Drosophila melanogaster: one gene and its partners. The protein of the gene in region 1 purifies or fractionates together with the protein of each later gene. This does not show direct contact. Each region holds a gene or a part of one and is shown on either strand. Other genes may lie near its edges.

Region 1 (6,153 bases):
CAAATACAGAACAGCAATCATTTTATAAATTCAGCTATATTTGATACAGAACGAAATGTTATAGTGTATTGTGGCTTTAGAAGTCGGATGCTAAGTTTTATCGGTGCCAAGCATCTGGGGTTCCACTTGTAAGTAAAAATTGAAAGAAAATGTTTGTTTATGCATAGCATTTAGTTATGGCTACCAAAACATAATATACGATTACATATATACAATTTTTCATCAATTTTGTTTGTTCCGAACGCTTTATTTGTGTATAAAACCCCAGTTTTGTTCAAAAACCTTGCCTTGTTTATATTTTATAAAAGTCATTTCAATAAAACTATTCAAGTTAGATACCTCAATAATAATCCCATACATTTTTTTAATCCAATAACTATTGCCTACTCTCCGGGCACAAACAAAACAGTTCTGATCAAAATATTCGAAACTGCATTAAAAGACACCTAGCTTAAGAGCCTGTAATGTTAATCGAGTGAACAGAAATCAGAATAGAGCAATTGTGAAATAAAAAATCGGTCCGTTCTTTATTAACCAAGATCTCGTCCACTAGCTATGCTAAAGCCCATGACCTCGAAGATCTGGTTAACATTAGCCTGATAATCCTGAAGATGGGCCCGCTGCAACAGCGTAACGTATACGAAGGGTCCATTGTAAGAAATAAGCTGGAGGAAGAACGCTCTGGCCGGCGTCTGTAGCTCTTGCGGCTGTATTTGTGATAGGTATATTACCACCGTGCTCATGATCTCGTGCAGATGTCTTCCCTCTATCTGAAGACCGAGTATAAAGTCCGCGAGGCTCTTCAGCAGCTTAAGCTGCAGTTTGTACTCCTGAGTCTGCGCTTGCGAGGTCTCCGTGCTGCTGTGCAGGGATGCTGTCTTCAGGAACTGCTTTAACTGGGGTATCACATCACTGAAAAGCACAAGGATAGGGTAAAAAGATCTAGTTATCCTCGAAACAGTGACTTACCTAAGGCTGCGTTTAAGTATAAAGTCCTTGGCATGAACGCCTAGCAAGTGCAGCAGGGTGAAGCATCGGTTTAGCACCAATGCGTCCTTTTGGCGGAATTTTTCGATCAGAGGTTGCCACACTAGATGCACTAATGGCAGCAGCTCGTCCTCGTAGTCCGCCAGTAATGGCAGACCACTGGAGAAACATTCCAAAGCTGCAATCTGCTGCCCCTGATCGGCGGTGGAAATGAACTTGATTACTTGACCTAGTATATCCTTAACCATTTCCACGTGGCGCGGAAGCACGGGCTTCGTGGGTTTCTCTTCCGTGTCATCCGCATCGTCGGCTTCATCCTTTGCCGGCTCCTCGGCGTCGCCCATGTTGGTGTCGCCATTCAGATCTTTCAATAACTTTGGCCTCTCCAGCACACTCATCCACGTGCTTAGGACATTCTGCTCCTCATCCACTTGCATCGGCAGCTCGGTATCAACCTCCGCCGCAGCATCATCATGCCAATCGGAAACATGATTCAGGAATGATTTGAAGACGCGAAGATAAGAGTGCACGTTGGTTGTCTGGTGTGATTTGGAGCACTCTTCGCGTATAGTTTGGAATAAGCTGTCCAGGTGGGGCACATTGCCGCGTGTGCTGTACTGCAACACGACGGTGAGGATGTCCACGGCGGCCGTGCTATCTGGCGATCGTTTTAGCAACGCGTTTAGGTGAAAAGTGATGTAGTCGGTGGAGCATTCGATAAAATGTGAGGGCTCCGCATATTTAAGAGCGTACTGCATGGAAACGAAGGCGAAACTGGCCGCTTGATGGACGATAGTGTTACTGCTAGCCACCTTGAGAAGCACTTTGTGTAGACTTAAAAATATATGCCTGTCGAAGGTATCACCAATAAATCTGGCACAGTGACCCACTGCATCCAAAATTAGGCAGGTGTGCAGAACATTAAACTGGGCGTCTGCAATGGTCACCCGACTACCGACCACCTCCGTCTGCTCGTCATCAGAATCGCAGTCCTGGGTGCGTACCTCAATCGCCGATGAATAGATGCCAGGAGTACGGTCCTCAAACCAATGCGTGGGCTAAAAAAAATTATAGTACACATTGTACACATATAAAATCCATTCTCACCTTGTTGACCTTAAGGCGCCACGCCGAGTCCGGCTGAAGGGCCAGGTTCCAATGCTCGTCTCGAAGGATCTGGTCCAAGAAAAGTTTAGCCAGCACCAGTCGACTTCCCCGCGCCTTCTTCTCCTGCGGCGTTACCATCAGTGTTAGAAGCAGCACACACTCGTTCATGGATGGTGACCTTTGCTGAATCATCTCCTGACAGTAATCAAATACAAGTCGATTTATTGTTGGCTCAGTACCCAACAGGGCTCCAATGTCATATAGGATATCAACTGTACGCCTTGAGCTTAGATACTTGAACTGCCTCCAAGGCAGTTTGGCCAGTTCGGCGGCCAGACCTTTGGAATCACCTTCTCGAATACGTCGAAGTGAGTATTCCTCGTTGAGAAGGTCCCTGGTTGGCCGTTGATCTAGTGCTGTCAACAGACAAGTGACGAACATCTCCAGATTTTTGGGAACTAGCAGCAATAGCTGCAATTTATCGGTGTTGACGTTGCGTAGGAATCCTTTGAAGAACAGAAGCTCGGCAAACTGTTCGTTGTCCTCGCAGCGATGCAGTATGCGTGGCCATTTATTGAGGTGTGCATCTAGCAGCATCTCCGCATTCTCATCGAATATGTCTTGGCTGCTGGCCTGTTGTTGCAGCAGAAGTAGGGTGTCCCTGCACCGCTGGGCTATCTTCTCATTCTCGTCCTCTGACAGAGCCAATACGCTCTCTAGTACATGGAGAAAGTTTCCCCTCAGATTGTAAGCACAATGTTTTAGCAACAGGCAACACATATCGGAGTAGGATTCCCTTACCCGTATTGCGCTGTGAGTCCGTAGAATACTCATTTCGGCAAATATTGGTCGAAGGTGCCTCGAAGTGGCGGCCACCCACTGATGCGAACGAAGCTCCGTTTGCATTTGATGCAATCGCTCCTCATTCTGTTCTGTAGTAGCCTTCTTGCTGGCAAAAAAGGTGAAATCGCATTGATGAGCCTCTTCGTTGTTTTTGAACAGTTTGCGGAAGGCATCTCCATCGTAGCGCATTTTTATAAACTCATTAGTGGTCTCCTCAAACATTATGCAAATAATGCGTCCCAGCGCTTGAATTGCCATCTAATTATAATATTTAAATCAATATAAATGAAGTTATACAAAACCATCGAAAAACTCACCGATTTTATAGTCTCTCCCACCTTGTCATCTTTCATTGATGTTTTGAACAGCACGATGAGTACCTTGGGAAGGAATATAAATATGGTATTGGCTACCTGACTACGCAGGACAACATCCACTTGATCGGATTCGTCATGGACATAGAAAACCATCATCAGACACTGAATGGCTGTCTGTACGAGTTTTCGATACTTTTCCTGTTCGATGATTTCCAAGAGCATGATCAGTATCTGGCCAATAACCATCGCAGTCTCCTTAACGTAGAAAGATTCCACCACATCAGTGGTGGAGCGACGAAGTGCCTCGAATATACACTGAACGGCTGCCAGTTTGATTTCCTCGGAAAGGTTTGGTCGCATGGACGCTGTCTTGGAGTCGCGTACCTGTTGCAGCACCACCACCAGGATGGAACGCAGACCCTTCTCATCGGCCAGGTATGTTTTGGAGACAATGTTGCTTAAGCAGTTCATCAGGCTGGTGCGAAGTTCCTGGTTTTCTCTGCGGAAGAGACAGTCTTCTCTGAAGTCGAAAACCCAAGCGGAGCGGAGCCACTTACCCGGTTAGCTCATCCAGTTTGACCACCAGTGGCACCACCGTTTGCACCTGGTAAATGCGCATTTCTCCAAAGTTGAATCCCTCGATTGCGCGCTCCACCACCGACAACGTGTCCTTGCTGGGCTCCTTGATGAAGCCTTCCACCGCTGGCTTTATCTTCGTCACATACCACTCTAGATGCATCATCGTGGCAGCAGTATTCACTAACCAAATAAACCCAAAGCGAAACCCGGCAAAATCCGGGAAGAAGTTTTGAACCAACAGCTGTTCCGACAGTCACATGCAAACGCGCGCGTTTTCACCCCCGCCACCCACAATCGCTATCGAAGTCTATCGGTTATTTTGAATTGCGCGCCAAGCCGCCCTTAATTTTGATTTTCTTTTATTTAAAGCACCAGTATTGACTAATATATTTCGAAGTTTCAGGATTTTGGTAAACTCGGGATTGGCTTTGTTAAATACTACAAGTTTACATATTCAGATTGTATTTGAAATTAATCATCTAGCTATAGAACTCATGCTGAGCTTCGTCCTTGCGCACGCTGGTCTTATAACCCTTTTCGAAGTCCTTGGCATTGACCACATAGCGATTCTCGCGCACTGCATGCATACCAGCCTCTTGGCAAATGGCATTGATATCCGCATTGGAGATCTTGTCCGGACGTGCAATGATGTCCTCCAGATCCACATCCTCACCCACATTCATTTTCGAGGTGATTGTGGTGAAAACTAAGCGCTTCTGGCGACGATCCGGCAATGGTAACTCAATTTTCCGATCCAAACGGCCGGGTCGTAACAGAGCCGGATCTAAGGTATCTGCACGATTGGTGGCCATGATAACCTTAATGTTGGTGGTCTCATCAAAGCCATCCATTTGGTTGAGTAGCTCCAGCAGGATGCGCTGCACCTCGCGATCAGCACCTGTCTGTGCATCAAAGCGCTTGGTGGCAATCGCATCGATCTCATCAATGAAGATAATTGAAGGAGAATTCTGCTTGGCCAGGCGGAAAAGATCTCGCACCATGCGTGGCCCCTCGCCTAGGTATTTCTGGACGAACTCGGAGCCCACGACACGAATAAATGATGCAGTTGTATGATGGGCCACCGCCTTGGCCAGCATGGTTTTGCCACATCCAGGTGGTCCAAAAAGGAGGACGCCGCGTGGGGGATCGATGCCTGGAAGAGAATTAGTGGAAATAGTCTTTTGATATTGCGAATACCCACCAATTTGCTTGTAAAGCTGGGCGTGGGTCAAGGGCAGCTCGACAGCCTCGCGTATCTCCTGTTTCTGGATGTCCAAGCCTCCAATGTCGGAGTAGCTGATATCCGGTTTCTCATCCGGCGATAGCATCGATATGGTGCTGTCCGCCTCCGGTGGCACCAGATCGACCAGACAATTGCTTTGCTTGTGCAGCCCAACCGAAGAGGACGGCTTCAGTTGCTCCCTGTCAATGGTGGATAGCACTCGAACATAGTAATTGGATCCGGTGGTGGAGGCCACTATGCCGTTGTTTTCATCCACCGCCTCCAGAAACTGGCCAATGACCAGAGGCACGGCTTTTATGCGCTTAACTTCCTCCTGAGCGTGTATGAACTCCTTCTTCAGATTGCGTTGCTCCTCCTTGATATAATCCTCCTGCACCTGGATGAGCTCCAGCTCCATCTGAAGCTTCTTATATAGTACATACAGATCATGCGGATCCAGTCCATCATACTTCTCCAGCGACTGCTCGTGAAACTGGGCAATTTCCTCCTTTAACAAACGCATTTTCGTCTTATCCCTGTGGAGATTCGATTCGAAGTGAAAGGCAATGACACGAATTTTCAAAGGCTAAAGCAGGTTATCGTAAAAAAAATATCGATAACTGTTAACAGGATAAGAATGGCAATACTAAAAAAGCTTCAATACATGAGCGTAACCAGAAACAATTATTTAATACTTATTGAATGCGAAGTTATGATATATTGTATTTTCAAACTATGTTGATTAAGCCCGATCGATATATAAAAATTATACAATTTCTAAAATGATTTTTAACGCTCCTTCGAAACTTTTCGCGTCGCCACGTGAATGGCAATCAGCTGTTGAACCGACCTGTTGTTTTTCTTGGATTTGTTTTTGTTGTGCTTGCTTTTCTGCCTCCGACGTGGAGCGATCTATTTATATATCTATTTTGGTTTATTTTGGAACCACAAATTCTCTTCGGCATAGGAAAAATATATATGCCTAGGCATTGACACTTTTTGTGAGACATTCAAACACTTAGTCAAAGAAAGGTGGCTAGATATCGACATTGTGCAACGCCGGCTTCGATTGGGAAATCTTCGTCAGATACCATCGCG
Region 2 (4,023 bases), on another chromosome or scaffold:
TATTTCGAGAAAGGTTTTATTTAAAATATAGAGATTTTTAAAACACATTAGTTGTGAAAATAAATATTAAATATTCTACATTTCAATCACATACATATAAGTTTCTGTATGTGCGCGTATACTTCCTCATATGCAAGTTAAATATAGGCGCGTGATATGAAATATTTCCCGGCACAATATGAGTGCTATCATTAATCCCTCAGTTTCCCTATTTATTACTATAGATTATTATTGCAGCTATTGCGTGCTATTAGCTGCGAAAACTTTAATCCCAAATTAGAAACAGGTGTGAAAGTGGAGGGTTTTAATCTTGAGCCCAAGGCAACGACTATTGGCAATCTTTACAGTTCACGTATAAGTGATAATGTATAAAAATAATCTGTGTAAATTACCGATTGATTGATAAGTAATTCACAAGTTTTATTCGCTTCGTTGTGGGAAAGTATAAAGCTAGAATTTTATATTTGTCAGAAAGAAAATATAATTATAGATTTATTTAAATCTGGTTCTGTATTCATAACCAATAATTTTTACAAAAAGACCAAGTCGACTGTTAAGGGGAATTTTTGTAGAAATAATTGCCTTTATAATTGTGCACTTTACGTGTTGCATAATATTTACTTTTTTTTTTTTTTCAGACCAAAAAACCAATTAGTTTCCATTCACTATTTGTTCTCCCCAGCGTGGTGGGCTTATCAACAAATCCCAATAAGTATAGGGTATTCCGAACGGGCGATGCGACAGGTTGGCAAAAAGTCGCCAAAACGGAAGAATGACATAAACATATGTACTATATACATGATGTACTATAACGCTTATATACTAAATATTATACACTATGAGTGTGTGTCAAGTGCAAGTGCACCGAAAACAACAGAGAGGGCACACAGAAACAATAAAGCCAATGAAAAAGCTGAAAAGTACACAATTAACGTGATTGTCCCCAAAATTGACGATAAATCGAAAGGCAACGGCGGAAGTAAGGAAATGTTGGGCAATACAAATGAATGTGAAAACATGCCGAGAATGGAAGAATCTTTGTGGCTTTTACCTTTGAGAAACTACATTAATTTTTAGTTGGCACTCAATTCGGTTGCCAACGAGTACAGCTGTTGCTGTAGTTGTTGTTCTTGTAGTCGTCTATACTGCCGTCGATTTGTTGGCACCTTCAACTTTTGATAGCGCCTTTGTTATTGTTGTATCACTTGTTGCCAATAAAAAATTGATTAACACTTTTCTGGCGCATGCATCGCAAATATGCTAAACTTTGAGCACTCTTTAGCGAGTTTTTGTTCTGCCAAAACGATTATCACTTATATAAAACCGGCTAAAAGGCCCGCAAATTAATAGCCAACGCTATAAGCTGCGCTTTGTTATTTCAATAATATTTATTTTCGCTTATTTAACCCCGCACGTTTAATATCTCATCGTTTTTTTTTTAATGCAGAAAAGCGTCGCTTGCGACACACGTAAAAGTGTTTCTTTGTCGTTATATATGAAGTTGTTGCTGCTGTTGCTGTTGTTGTTGCTATTGGGGGGTCGAACGCCAAAAAAAGATGCTCGCGCCAAAAACTAAATATGTGGAAAATCCGCGACAGAAGCAAAACAGCGTCCGACTGACCCAGTAAAACTGAAGAAAAAAGTATTCAACTCACAGAGTGGCGAAAGCTTTTTAAGCTTACCACCATTAACAGCTGTTCCCGATGCCTTCTAATGTATCGGCATAACTATCGTACACACACATTATTTCGTAAATTTTAAATTATTTGATTATATGAGTACAAAATGTGAACTATAGTAATGGGATATACTTTTTACAAACGTTAAGCGTTATTATTTTTTTAAATATTGCATTTTAGTGGATATGTTATAATTTATCTATTTAAAAATTAGATTTGGTATATTTCCGTCAGCTGATTGGTATATTTCAGGCGCTGCATGTACGGCTACACTGAAAAAGAGGAAGAGATAGCCATGACAACAAAACAACTTGTTTTTGATAAATCCTTAAGTTTTCACCGGCCGCTTTTGGAATATTAGCATAAAGTTGAGACGGAAATATAGATCGTTGAAATGGACAAGCCCCAGCTTATTGAGCACCTCCACGAGGCACTCAACTACACGGTGTACGATACGAAATGGGTGCCCCTTTCGGCCAAGTTTGTGATTCTGGGCTCCAAGGCCAACGGGCACGGAATCATGGACATCTACGAACTCAACCAGGATAAGCTGGTGAAAGTGAAGTCCGTAGAGAAGAAGGTTGCCTTCAAATGCGGCACCTTCGGAGCAGCTTCGCTCAGGAACCGCCACATGGCCATCGGAGATTTCGAGGGCAGGCTGCAAGTTCTGTAAGCATAATCCCGCTTAAGTCATTAGATGCTTCTCTGACATGTGTTCTTTGCAGGGATATGGAGCAGCCGGACCTTCCGGTCTACAATGTAAAGGCCCACAACGGCATCATCAACACCATCGACGCGATTGGCGGCACACAAATCGATTGCGGTGCTCCGGAAATCGTTACTGGAAGTCGTGACGGCGCCGTTAAAGTCTGGGATATCCGCCAGGGGCAGGCTCCTGTGGTGGACATGTCGCCGCCGCCGCAAATGGGCGATGGCGTTAACAACAGCAGTGGCCGCCGGGACTGCTGGGCCGTGGCCTTTGGAAATACCTACAACGCTGAGGAGCGCATCGTTGCCGCCGGCTATGATAATGGAGATCTAAAGATATTCGATTTGCGATCCCTTTCCGTACGCTGGGAGGCCACCATGAAGAATGGTATCTGTGGACTGGAGTTCGATCGCCGGGACATTCCCATGAACAAGCTAGCGGTCACCACTTTGGAGGGCGGTCTCCTTGTCTTCGATATGAGAACCCAACATCCGACCAAGGGATTTAGTTACGTGGAGGAACGCAACGCCGGACGCAGCGTGGGAACAAATGGCGTGATCAGCGGACCCAAAGCCACCGTTTGGGTAGTTCGTCATCTGCCCCAGAATCGGGATCTCTTTCTCACGGGCGGCGGAACTGGTTCCATTCGCCTGTGGCAGTACGAGTATCCCGACAGGAGGGTCATTGATGACTCTGATGGAAACAAGTTGGGAGTTGCTGGAGCCCTTAATATGCTTAGTGCAGCCACTTTGAGCTCTCAGCCGGTTCACTGCTTTGACTGGCATCCAGACAAACTGGGCCTAGCCGTCTGTGGAGCATTCGATCAAAGCGTGCGCGTTTTAATTACCACCAAACTAAACACTTTTTAGATGGTGGACATCAAAAGAAACCCATTAAAGAAATGCTTCATACTTGTGATATTGGATGATGGGTTAATTCATAGGTTTATATTTTTATGAATACACTTTCATTGCACCTATTGCTAGACAATAAATCCTTAATGCGCAATAGCTTTTAAAATCAGAAAAACTGGATAATCTGCTTGAGCTGAATTATATTACAAATCAAAACTAGCTTACAAATATATATCAGCAATAAACTATTTCATGTACAATAAAAAATGACTCTTTTTATTTGTTTTGCAATTACAAAATAGTATAAAACCTTATATAGTGTATAACTAAGATCGAGACGCATTCATTCGTTCCTGGACAATTTTTGTCAGGTCTTCGATGCGTTTTTCCAGCTGCTCCACTTTTGCAGTCTGTTCTGCCGATACATCCACATTTATGGCTCTCTTCAAAGCATTCAGACAAGATGTTCCCGCCAGTCTGGCTGAATTTAGTTGAGAGGTAATCATTACCTCACTTTCCTCTTGAATGTGCTCTGTGATGGCCGCCACTGAGAGATCGCAGACCTCTAAACAAAGATCTAGGGCTTTTAAAGCGTGCTCCGACTTGGTTTCCCAGCCCAAATGCTTCGGTGTGTACGCACGATACGATTTTACCAGTTTCTCGGCCTTCTTCAGTGGCGTTTGGGCCACCAAGGCGGCCAGTTCCCACACAAGAGGCTCGTTACCATGTTGAATGCTCTGCTGTCCCAGAAGCTTTATGAGTCTTTTGATCAGAGCACTTG
Region 3 (3,147 bases), about 14 Mb from region 1:
GACACAACCGCCGCACTTTCACATAACTATCACAAATTCTCGCAGCCAAATTAAGTTTAACAAAACAAAAACGATGAAGCTGTCTATACGCATGCTGGACCAACGCACCATCACTTTGGAGATGAACGAATCGCAGGAGGTGAGGGCTCTGAAGCAGAAATTGGGCAATTTACCCGAAGTCGCCATGCCCGCGGAGAACCTTCAGCTGATATACAGTGGCCGCATTATGGAGGATGCCATGCCCCTCAGTGAATATCGTATAGCCGAGGACAAGATCATTGTGTTGATGGGTAAGAAGAAGGTTGATAAGAGCTCGCCAGAGGAGAAGGTTGCCCCGACACCACCGTTGGCCGCTGGCCCAAATGTTTTGCGCACAGAGGATGTGGTGCCTTCACTAGCTCCCAATGATCAGTGGGTGAGCGATCTCATGTCAATGGGATATGGCGAAGAGGAGGTACGCTCAGCCCTCCGGGCGAGCTTTAATCATCCGGAAAGGGCTATAGAGTATTTGATTAATGGGATTCCTCAGGAGGTTGTTTCAGAGCAGGGATTAGCTGCAATCCCGAGCGTACAGACAAGTGATCAATTGCAGCAATTAATGGCAGATCTTAACATTACACGGATGCGTGAGATGATTAATCAGAATCCAGAACTAATACACAGACTAATGAACAGACTGGCTGAAACCGATCCGGCTACCTTCGAAGTCTTTCAGCGTAACCAGGAGGAGTTAATGAACATGATTTCAGGCGGCGCAAGTCGCACCCCGAACGAGATTGAACATTTACAGATTACTTTAACCGCCGAAGAAACCGCCGCCGTAGGGCGTTTGGAGGCACTGGGTTTCGAACGTGTGATGGCCGTTCAGGCCTATCTGGCCTGCGACAAGGACGAGCAGCTGGCCGCAGAGGTACTAATACGCCAGTCAGAAGAGGATCGAGACTAATAAAGCGATTCGGAGCACGTAAATGCACCCAGAACATAACCTAACAATTTTCCAAGTAAAGATGGTGCTGGCCCAGTTTTGTTGCTGGCTGGGATTGTGGTTGTGTGTGGCAGGCGGTGCGCGTGGGTGGCGGAGGTGCTCCACTTACGTCTCGTACTGCTTGTTGGCTACTTTCTCCATGCTCATCCTGGCAATTATGATGCTGACTGGTAGCTGATACTGGTGCTCTCCTGCTGACTGCTTGGCTGTTCCTGTGGCGCTGTTCCAACCTCTGGAACGAGTACCTGTGGATCCGGGTGTTTGCACTACTAGATTCTTTATGCTGCTGCTTCTTCTGGCGCAATTCTTCTTTTGCTCCTTGGCTGCGCGTGTGTGTGTTGTGTGTGTGTGTGTGTGTGGGCAAATGGGTTTTTGGTGGATTCTCTTATGGGCGATTTTTTGGGGCAGCCGCTTTTTCGGGGAGCGGTTCGCTACGGGTCCGCCGCTCTCTCTGGTAAACAATCGTATTTCCTGTGCCTTATCCTTTCCGGTTATCAGTGGGTTTGCTTATTTTTTGGCCGTTTAGTTTTGGTTCGCTCGACTTTAGTTTGACGTTTCTTTTTGTACACAACACAACATGCGTCCGATTAAGTTCCACTTGCTATCCACATTCCACGCGGCGCTGTCAAAATCGACCAGTGCTGTAGGTCGAAGAAGAATTTTGACATTGGCCAGCACTGCACGTAGTGCAGTTACATACCCTACTGAAGTGGGTATATATGTTTCATTAATTTCATTAATTTTTCAACTCGAGTTAAATTGATTAATTTCCGTTGTTTGTTAGGGAAATTAAGTGACTCAAATACCAACATTTATTTCAACTCCAATAATTATAAAAATTTACTTTATAATGTAATCAATAATAAAATGAATAATTACATAAATAGTAAACATATATTCCAAAATATTTTTTAAGAATGCAGCAACACCGCTGACACAACATACCCCACATTTGGTTACAGGGTATCAGAGTATCGAATTTTTGCTGTCATTCTTCAAAAATCAGTTTGTTTACGTTCACCTGCAAGCCGCATAATGGGAAAAAGTGAGAAAAAATCAAAGAAAAAGCATAAGGAGAAGCGCAGGGAACACAAGGAAAAGCACAAGTCAAAGAAATCCAAGAAACACAACCGAAAAAAGGAAGAATCTCCGCCGATAGCTTCACCAACACCAATACAGCCTGAAAGGGTCAACCAGGAGGAGGAGGATGACTTTGCCATACCAATAGGTCCGTAAGAGCCCCCCTGTATATATTTATTATTGCTGAACACTCTAAACCCACCCCAAAACCCAAGCACTGATGAATAGCAAATCACATGCCCCGGAAACTCCAGAGGAATACCAGCGCCGTCAGAGCCAGATCCGCAAAGAGGTGGACCCGGTGACGGGTCGCGTCCGGCTCATCAAAGGCGACAGTGAGGTGCTGGAAGAGATTGTGACCAAAGAGCGCCACCTGGAGATCAACAAGAAGGCCACCCGCGGTGATGGAGAGTTCTACGAAGCCAGATCTCTGGACGCCGCCAAGCGTCGCAAATAGCTAATTTACCAAAAATGCAAAAATATAATAAGCTATTTCATGACTTGTAGTAATAATTAATAACTGTCAGTTTAATTAAACAAAGGGCTAGCTAGCGACTATATGTACACGCGAAATCCGTGGAAATTTCTTTGGTGGCGCAGCTAGTACAACTGATGGAAGAAGGTAGTGCTGCCGTCCTGCCAGGCGGGATCATCGCTAACCTTCGCCCTGCACATCGGACAGGTCTGTTCGCGCTTGAACCAGGTCTGGACGCACTCATCACAGAAAATGTGGCCGCACTCCAACACAGTGGGTGTGTTGAAGGCGTCATGGCAGATTGGACACAGGGCACCCGCAGCATCCAGCTCGTCTTTGGTCGGCGGCCGCTCAGAGTCCTTGAATAAATGTGTATTAGAAATGTGTACATAACAATCAAGTCTCAGGCATTCATACAATATTTTTTCTGAAGGTCACAATGGCTTTCTTTAGCGACTTGCCGCGCTCCACCAGCTCAAATATCTTGGCACCCAGGTACATTGCGGAAAAGAGTCCTCCGGAAACCACCTCCAGGCCGGAGTAGGACTCGTATAGAAATAGGAGCCACTGGGTAATGGGTGTCATTGCCCGGTAGAACTGCGAAATG
Region 4 (4,570 bases), on another chromosome or scaffold:
GACTACAAGCCTCAGGGAGAGGTGGTCTTCAAGCCGGCGGCCCCGCACGTGGGCATACAGGTGATGGCCAAGGAAGTGGGTCCCGCGAAGGCGGCGCAGACCAAGCTGTAGACGATCTGAGTTCGGATTTTGTACTATCGTATGTGATTCTTTAGTTTGTAGTTCGGTGGCGGGTTCCCAGTAGTGTATCAACGTTCGATTCAGCGTAGTGTAAACAAACAGTACAAGTTACGTATTTATCTAATTTAATCTTCCCGTCGCGACGGTAAACTTAAGTGTTTTGTGTTTAGAACGAGCTCAAAATAAAACCTTGTCTTAATAACATAACCGACTGGACAACAACTTAGCCCCTGCTGGCACGGCGGGAGTTCGACTTCCTGTTCTTGCCGGAGCGCTTGGCCTGGCTCCGTTTGGCCTGGGTCTTCTTGGCGTTCAGTTTCCGGTTGCTCCTGGTCCTGGAACTACGGCTGGTGCTGCTGGCGGTGGTGGTGCCCACACGGATCTTCCTCACAATCGAGTACGTCAAGTTGGACAGGTACACTTTCTTGGGCGTGCTGGACGAGCTGTAGGTGGGACTGGTGGAAGTGGAGGAGGAGTTCTGTGAACTGGAGAAGTCCAGGCAGCAGATCACGAGCACCACGATGCACAGGGTGCCGATTTGAATAGTTGACTTCATGTTGGTAGTAGGATTGCTTTTAATATGCTTCGATGGATGCGGCCGGAGTGCTTAAGTAGTCGCCCTGGTTGTTTGCACAGTTTGCTCAATCGCCTACGAAGGCCGACGAAATTGTTTAATTTTGGCAAAACACACTGGCGCTTAAGCAATCGCTCTTGAGTTTGCTTTGCCTTGAACCAAAACAAAATATTCAAAAATAGCTATATGCTTTCACGTTTAATTTGACCAAAGGAAATGGGGAAATGGGATTACTTAGCCGAAGACTGGTTGAAAGGACTCCGCGACATACGGTCCACCATACGACGCACTTGCTCCTCGTTGCCGTACTTCTGGGCATCGGCCACAACGGCGGCATGATGGGAATTAGCCTCTGCTGAGATTTCGTCCTGGATCTGGCGACTCAGTTTAAAGGACGACCTGTTGGGGATGGTGAAAGTTCAGTGTGACTACTTAAATTCTCTGGTTCATAATCATTAACCTGACGGAGGTGAAGCCAAAGAGTGCCCCGACGAAGCCTAGGGCCATCAGAACCACGGCCACCTGCCAGTTGGAGACCCTCTTCAGACCACGGATGCCATAGTACGGTCCTGGATTGGGATCGTAGTTGGGCCTCACATCCCACGCCTGGCCGGGATTGACCGTCTCGCCAACGGGACTGCGGTCCGAGCGCGATGGCTGCCACAGCAGGCTGTCATCGTAGTCTCTCCTCCGCTCCGGCTTTATCAGGGTCTTGTACGCCTCGGAGATCTGAACAAATCGGGCTGTGCGCTCCGGACACGCAGCATTGCTCTTAACATCTGGGTGGTACTGTGGAAAGGGCAGGGTTTAGGAGGCTCCTTTGGAATCTTGGAGTTACTTACCAATTTGGAGAGCTGGACAAAGGCATTACGGACTTCACGGGTGCTGCAATCATTGCGAATATTCAAAACTTCATAGTGTGTTTCGGGTTTTCTTGGTTTGTCGTTCGAGAAACTGCGCAATAGGCAAACATTTACTTTACATAACAAGTTTTATAGACGTAAAGTCCTTACTTACGCACATATCCAGCTCGAGTTGGAAGGCACAACCTTAGCATTGTGAGCTTTATTAGTATTATTTGTGCTGATCTGTCGGAGAAAGCATAATTTTAAACTAGGACTTTCAAAATAAAATCAAAACACAAAACAGCTGATTTGAGGGCCTTACTCTGGCAATCCTGGCTGGCCAGCTACAAAAATAGAGTTGGCAGCTCTGTTCGATGAAACAGCAACTCAGTTGAACTATCGACAGCGAGCAGTGCTGCCAGACTGTCGGAGCGCTAGCAACAGAAATAACAAACATTTAATATTTCTTTAGCCACTTGACAAGGCAAATCAATATGAGTGCACAGGAAAAAGCCTTCGAACTGCAGCGCCAGGTGCGCCAGAACGCGCGGGAGTACGAGAACTCCGTGAAGGACTTGTACTCCTGGGAGCAAGACATTAAAAACAAGGAGAAAGAGCTCCAGAAGTCGCCGCTTTCTGCCGCCAATAAGGTTAGCTTTAAATTCTTTGGTATTAACAAGTAAAGCTCACACTTTCAATGCAGGATCTGCCAGTGCGCAGTCATGTCCAGACAGACAAGTCGCGGAAGGAGAGCCCATCCTCCTCGGCGGCCAGCTCACCCACGGAGAAACAGGACTTGCCAGTGGATCCTGTGGCCCAGCAGTACAAGAAGGCCAACGACATCAAGGACCGTGGAAACACCTATGTCAAGCAGGGGGAGTACGAGAAGGCCATCGTGGCCTACTCCACTGCCATTGCCGTCTATCCCCACGATCCCATTTACCACATTAACCGGGCACTGTGCTACCTAAAACAGGAGAGGTAGGACTGTTTAGAATGTTCTCGATACTTCTTCCTTACATGCATATTTATCCTTGCAGCTTTGATCAATGCGTGGAGGACTGCGAGGCCGCCATTGCGCTGGATAAGCTCTGCGTGAAAGCTTACTACCGGCGAATGCAGGCCAACGAGTCCCTGGGCAACAACATGGAAGCCCTGAAGGATTGCACCACTGTGCTGGCCATCGAGCCGAAGAACATCGAGGCCAAGAGGAGCCTGGCCAGAATCAACGACCGTCTGCGCAAGATTGGTAAATATAATTTTGATTACCTAGTAAGCATATTTTAAGGCTTTTCATTGGCATCCTTACAGCCACCAAAAGTGGGCCAAACTTTACACCCGATCGTCCTGGCATGATTGAGATCTTGCCAATCGAGAAGCCTGCTTATAAACGCTCCAAGAAGGCAATGCGCAGTGTTCCCGTTGTAGACGTGGTATCTCCTCGTGCTACCATCGATGATAGCAACCAACTACGCATTTCGGATGAGGACATAGATAAGATATTTAATAGTAACTGCGGCATAATCGAAGAGGTCAAAAAAACAAATCCAAAGCCGACGCCAATGCCAGACACATCAGGTCCACCCAAAGCTGAGACCATTGCTAAGACCTCCAAAGAAGTCAAGCCTACCAAACAGACTGCGGTTAAAGTAGCTCCAGCTGTGGAAACCCCCAAAGAAACAGAAACACGCAAGGATACCAAGATTGTGCCTGAATCCGATAATGAGGCCAAGCCAAGTGCACCCAAAAAAACGGCTGTCGAGGTCCCCAAGGTTCAGACTCAAGTTTCTCCACCAAAGACCACAATAGAACGCAGCCCAGAAGTCAATACCGTGCAAACTGAAAAAATTGAACAAGCTTCGAGCAACAACGCAATGTCACCCAGTCCAATAGAGGTAGGTTCGCTTAAGATCAAAGCTGAATTATTATTAAACCAATTCTCTATGATTTAGCGCTTCTTACCGCCCGCACCCACGAGCACAGCACAGTTCCATGTGACCTGGAAGGAGCTGAGTGGTCCGCAGAAGTACCAATACCTAAAGTCCATTGAAGTCCCGAATCTGTGTAAGATCCTGGGAGCAGGCTTCGATTCGGACACGTTTGCCGACCTGCTGCGCACCATCCACGACTTCTTTGTACCAAATAAGGAGCCAAACACAGCAGCTGTCTTGCTGGAGATCAGCAAAAATGACGAATTCACCATTTTGGCCATGCTCATGTCCGCAGAGGAGAAGAAAAGTAGGTGACAAAACTTTTCTTGCATAATTTCGTTTGCATTTCATGTACTTTCCCCTTTTCACAGTGGTTTCGTCTATCCTCAACGCCATCAAGAACTGGCCCAGCAAGAATCCGGCTGTGCTGGACAACCTTTTCAAGGAATACGGAGTAGCCTAAACACCCAATGTTTTATGTTAAAATGTACTTATGTTGCTTCAAATTGTTAGCTCCAAAATCAACTAAAACAACAAAAATGTTTAAAATATAAAGAGGATTTGTAGATAGGATCCCAAAACGTTACACAGAATGCGAATGATTGAATGTGTTTTGTTCAGCGTTTATTAGATACGCTAAGATGCTCACTAGTTACACATGCTGGGAATATCTCAAAGTGACTCATGTTTTTTAGCCTAGTATAAGCCGAAAATTCCATATGCAGAAGACCATTTGAGCAAACAAACCGTTCTTGCCCGACCAGACCATGAATATTGAATAACCAATTGAGTAATACGAATTAGTGTAATTTACATAAATCAGCGCATTAATTCAATCTGCGAAGCCACCTAAAATGGGCCTTCCAGCAAGAACAACAACTCCATTAAGCGACGTTAAGTTGGAAGCGCTGATGATCAGTCGGCTTATCCGATCCGTGCACATATCATTACAGCGAAACCACAGCCAGGAGCACCAGGAGGGGCCCCCAAAGCAGGAGGGGCATCTCGCCGAGAACCGCGCACCACCGAGGCACCCGGGCGGCCCACTAATTGCGTGAGAGCTGGTGCACTAAGCACAGGGGCCGGGTTTTACTTTAGCC

What was found.
Region 2: the proteins of Tti1 (region 1) and Wdr92 purify together in Drosophila melanogaster (affinity purification with mass spectrometry, with the first as the bait; one large-scale study listed by BioGRID). This does not show direct contact.
Region 3: the proteins of Tti1 (region 1) and CG18428 purify together in Drosophila melanogaster (affinity purification with mass spectrometry, with the first as the bait; one large-scale study listed by BioGRID). This does not show direct contact.
Region 4: the proteins of Tti1 (region 1) and spag purify together in Drosophila melanogaster (affinity purification with mass spectrometry, with the first as the bait; one large-scale study listed by BioGRID). This does not show direct contact.

The regions. Positions count from the first base shown.
Region 1 is NT_033777.3:9,750,586-9,756,738, forward strand, and holds Tti1 (Telo2 interacting protein 1), read right to left. Parts: upstream 4,102-6,153; 5' UTR 3,997-4,101; coding exon 3,812-3,996; intron 3,754-3,811; coding exon 3,255-3,753; intron 3,196-3,254; coding exon 2,095-3,195; intron 2,046-2,094; coding exon 970-2,045; intron 913-969; coding exon 531-912; 3' UTR 503-530; downstream 1-502. Other genes in the region: Rpt3R (regulatory particle triple-A ATPase 3-related), read right to left, coding at 4,313-4,986, 5,035-5,578.
Region 2 is NT_037436.4:17,906,181-17,910,203, forward strand, and holds Wdr92 (WD repeat domain 92), read left to right. Parts: upstream 1-1,962; 5' UTR 1,963-2,073; coding exon 2,074-2,348; intron 2,349-2,404; coding exon 2,405-3,257; 3' UTR 3,258-3,503; downstream 3,504-4,023. Other genes in the region: CG5290 (uncharacterized protein), read right to left, coding at 3,569-4,023.
Region 3 is NT_033777.3:24,107,376-24,110,522, forward strand, and holds CG18428 (uncharacterized protein), read left to right. Parts: upstream 1-1,960; 5' UTR 1,961-2,020; coding exon 2,021-2,213; exon of another isoform or gene 2,214-2,280; coding exon 2,281-2,522; 3' UTR 2,523-2,635; downstream 2,636-3,147. Other genes in the region: eIF4EHP (eukaryotic translation initiation factor 4E homologous protein), read right to left, coding at 1,095-1,132; CG10694 (uncharacterized protein), read left to right, coding at 74-946; CG13605 (uncharacterized protein), read right to left, coding at 2,666-2,899, 2,958-3,147.
Region 4 is NT_033778.4:24,157,438-24,162,007, forward strand, and holds spag (spaghetti), read left to right. Parts: upstream 1-1,946; 5' UTR 1,947-2,033; coding exon 2,034-2,189; intron 2,190-2,242; coding exon 2,243-2,520; intron 2,521-2,579; coding exon 2,580-2,788; intron 2,789-2,850; coding exon 2,851-3,434; intron 3,435-3,491; coding exon 3,492-3,777; intron 3,778-3,841; coding exon 3,842-3,933; 3' UTR 3,934-4,066; downstream 4,067-4,570. Other genes in the region: speck, read left to right, coding at 1-111; CG42568 (uncharacterized protein), read right to left, coding at 344-676; DnaJ-60 (DnaJ-like-60), read right to left, coding at 925-1,093, 1,155-1,483, 1,537-1,648, 1,708-1,751.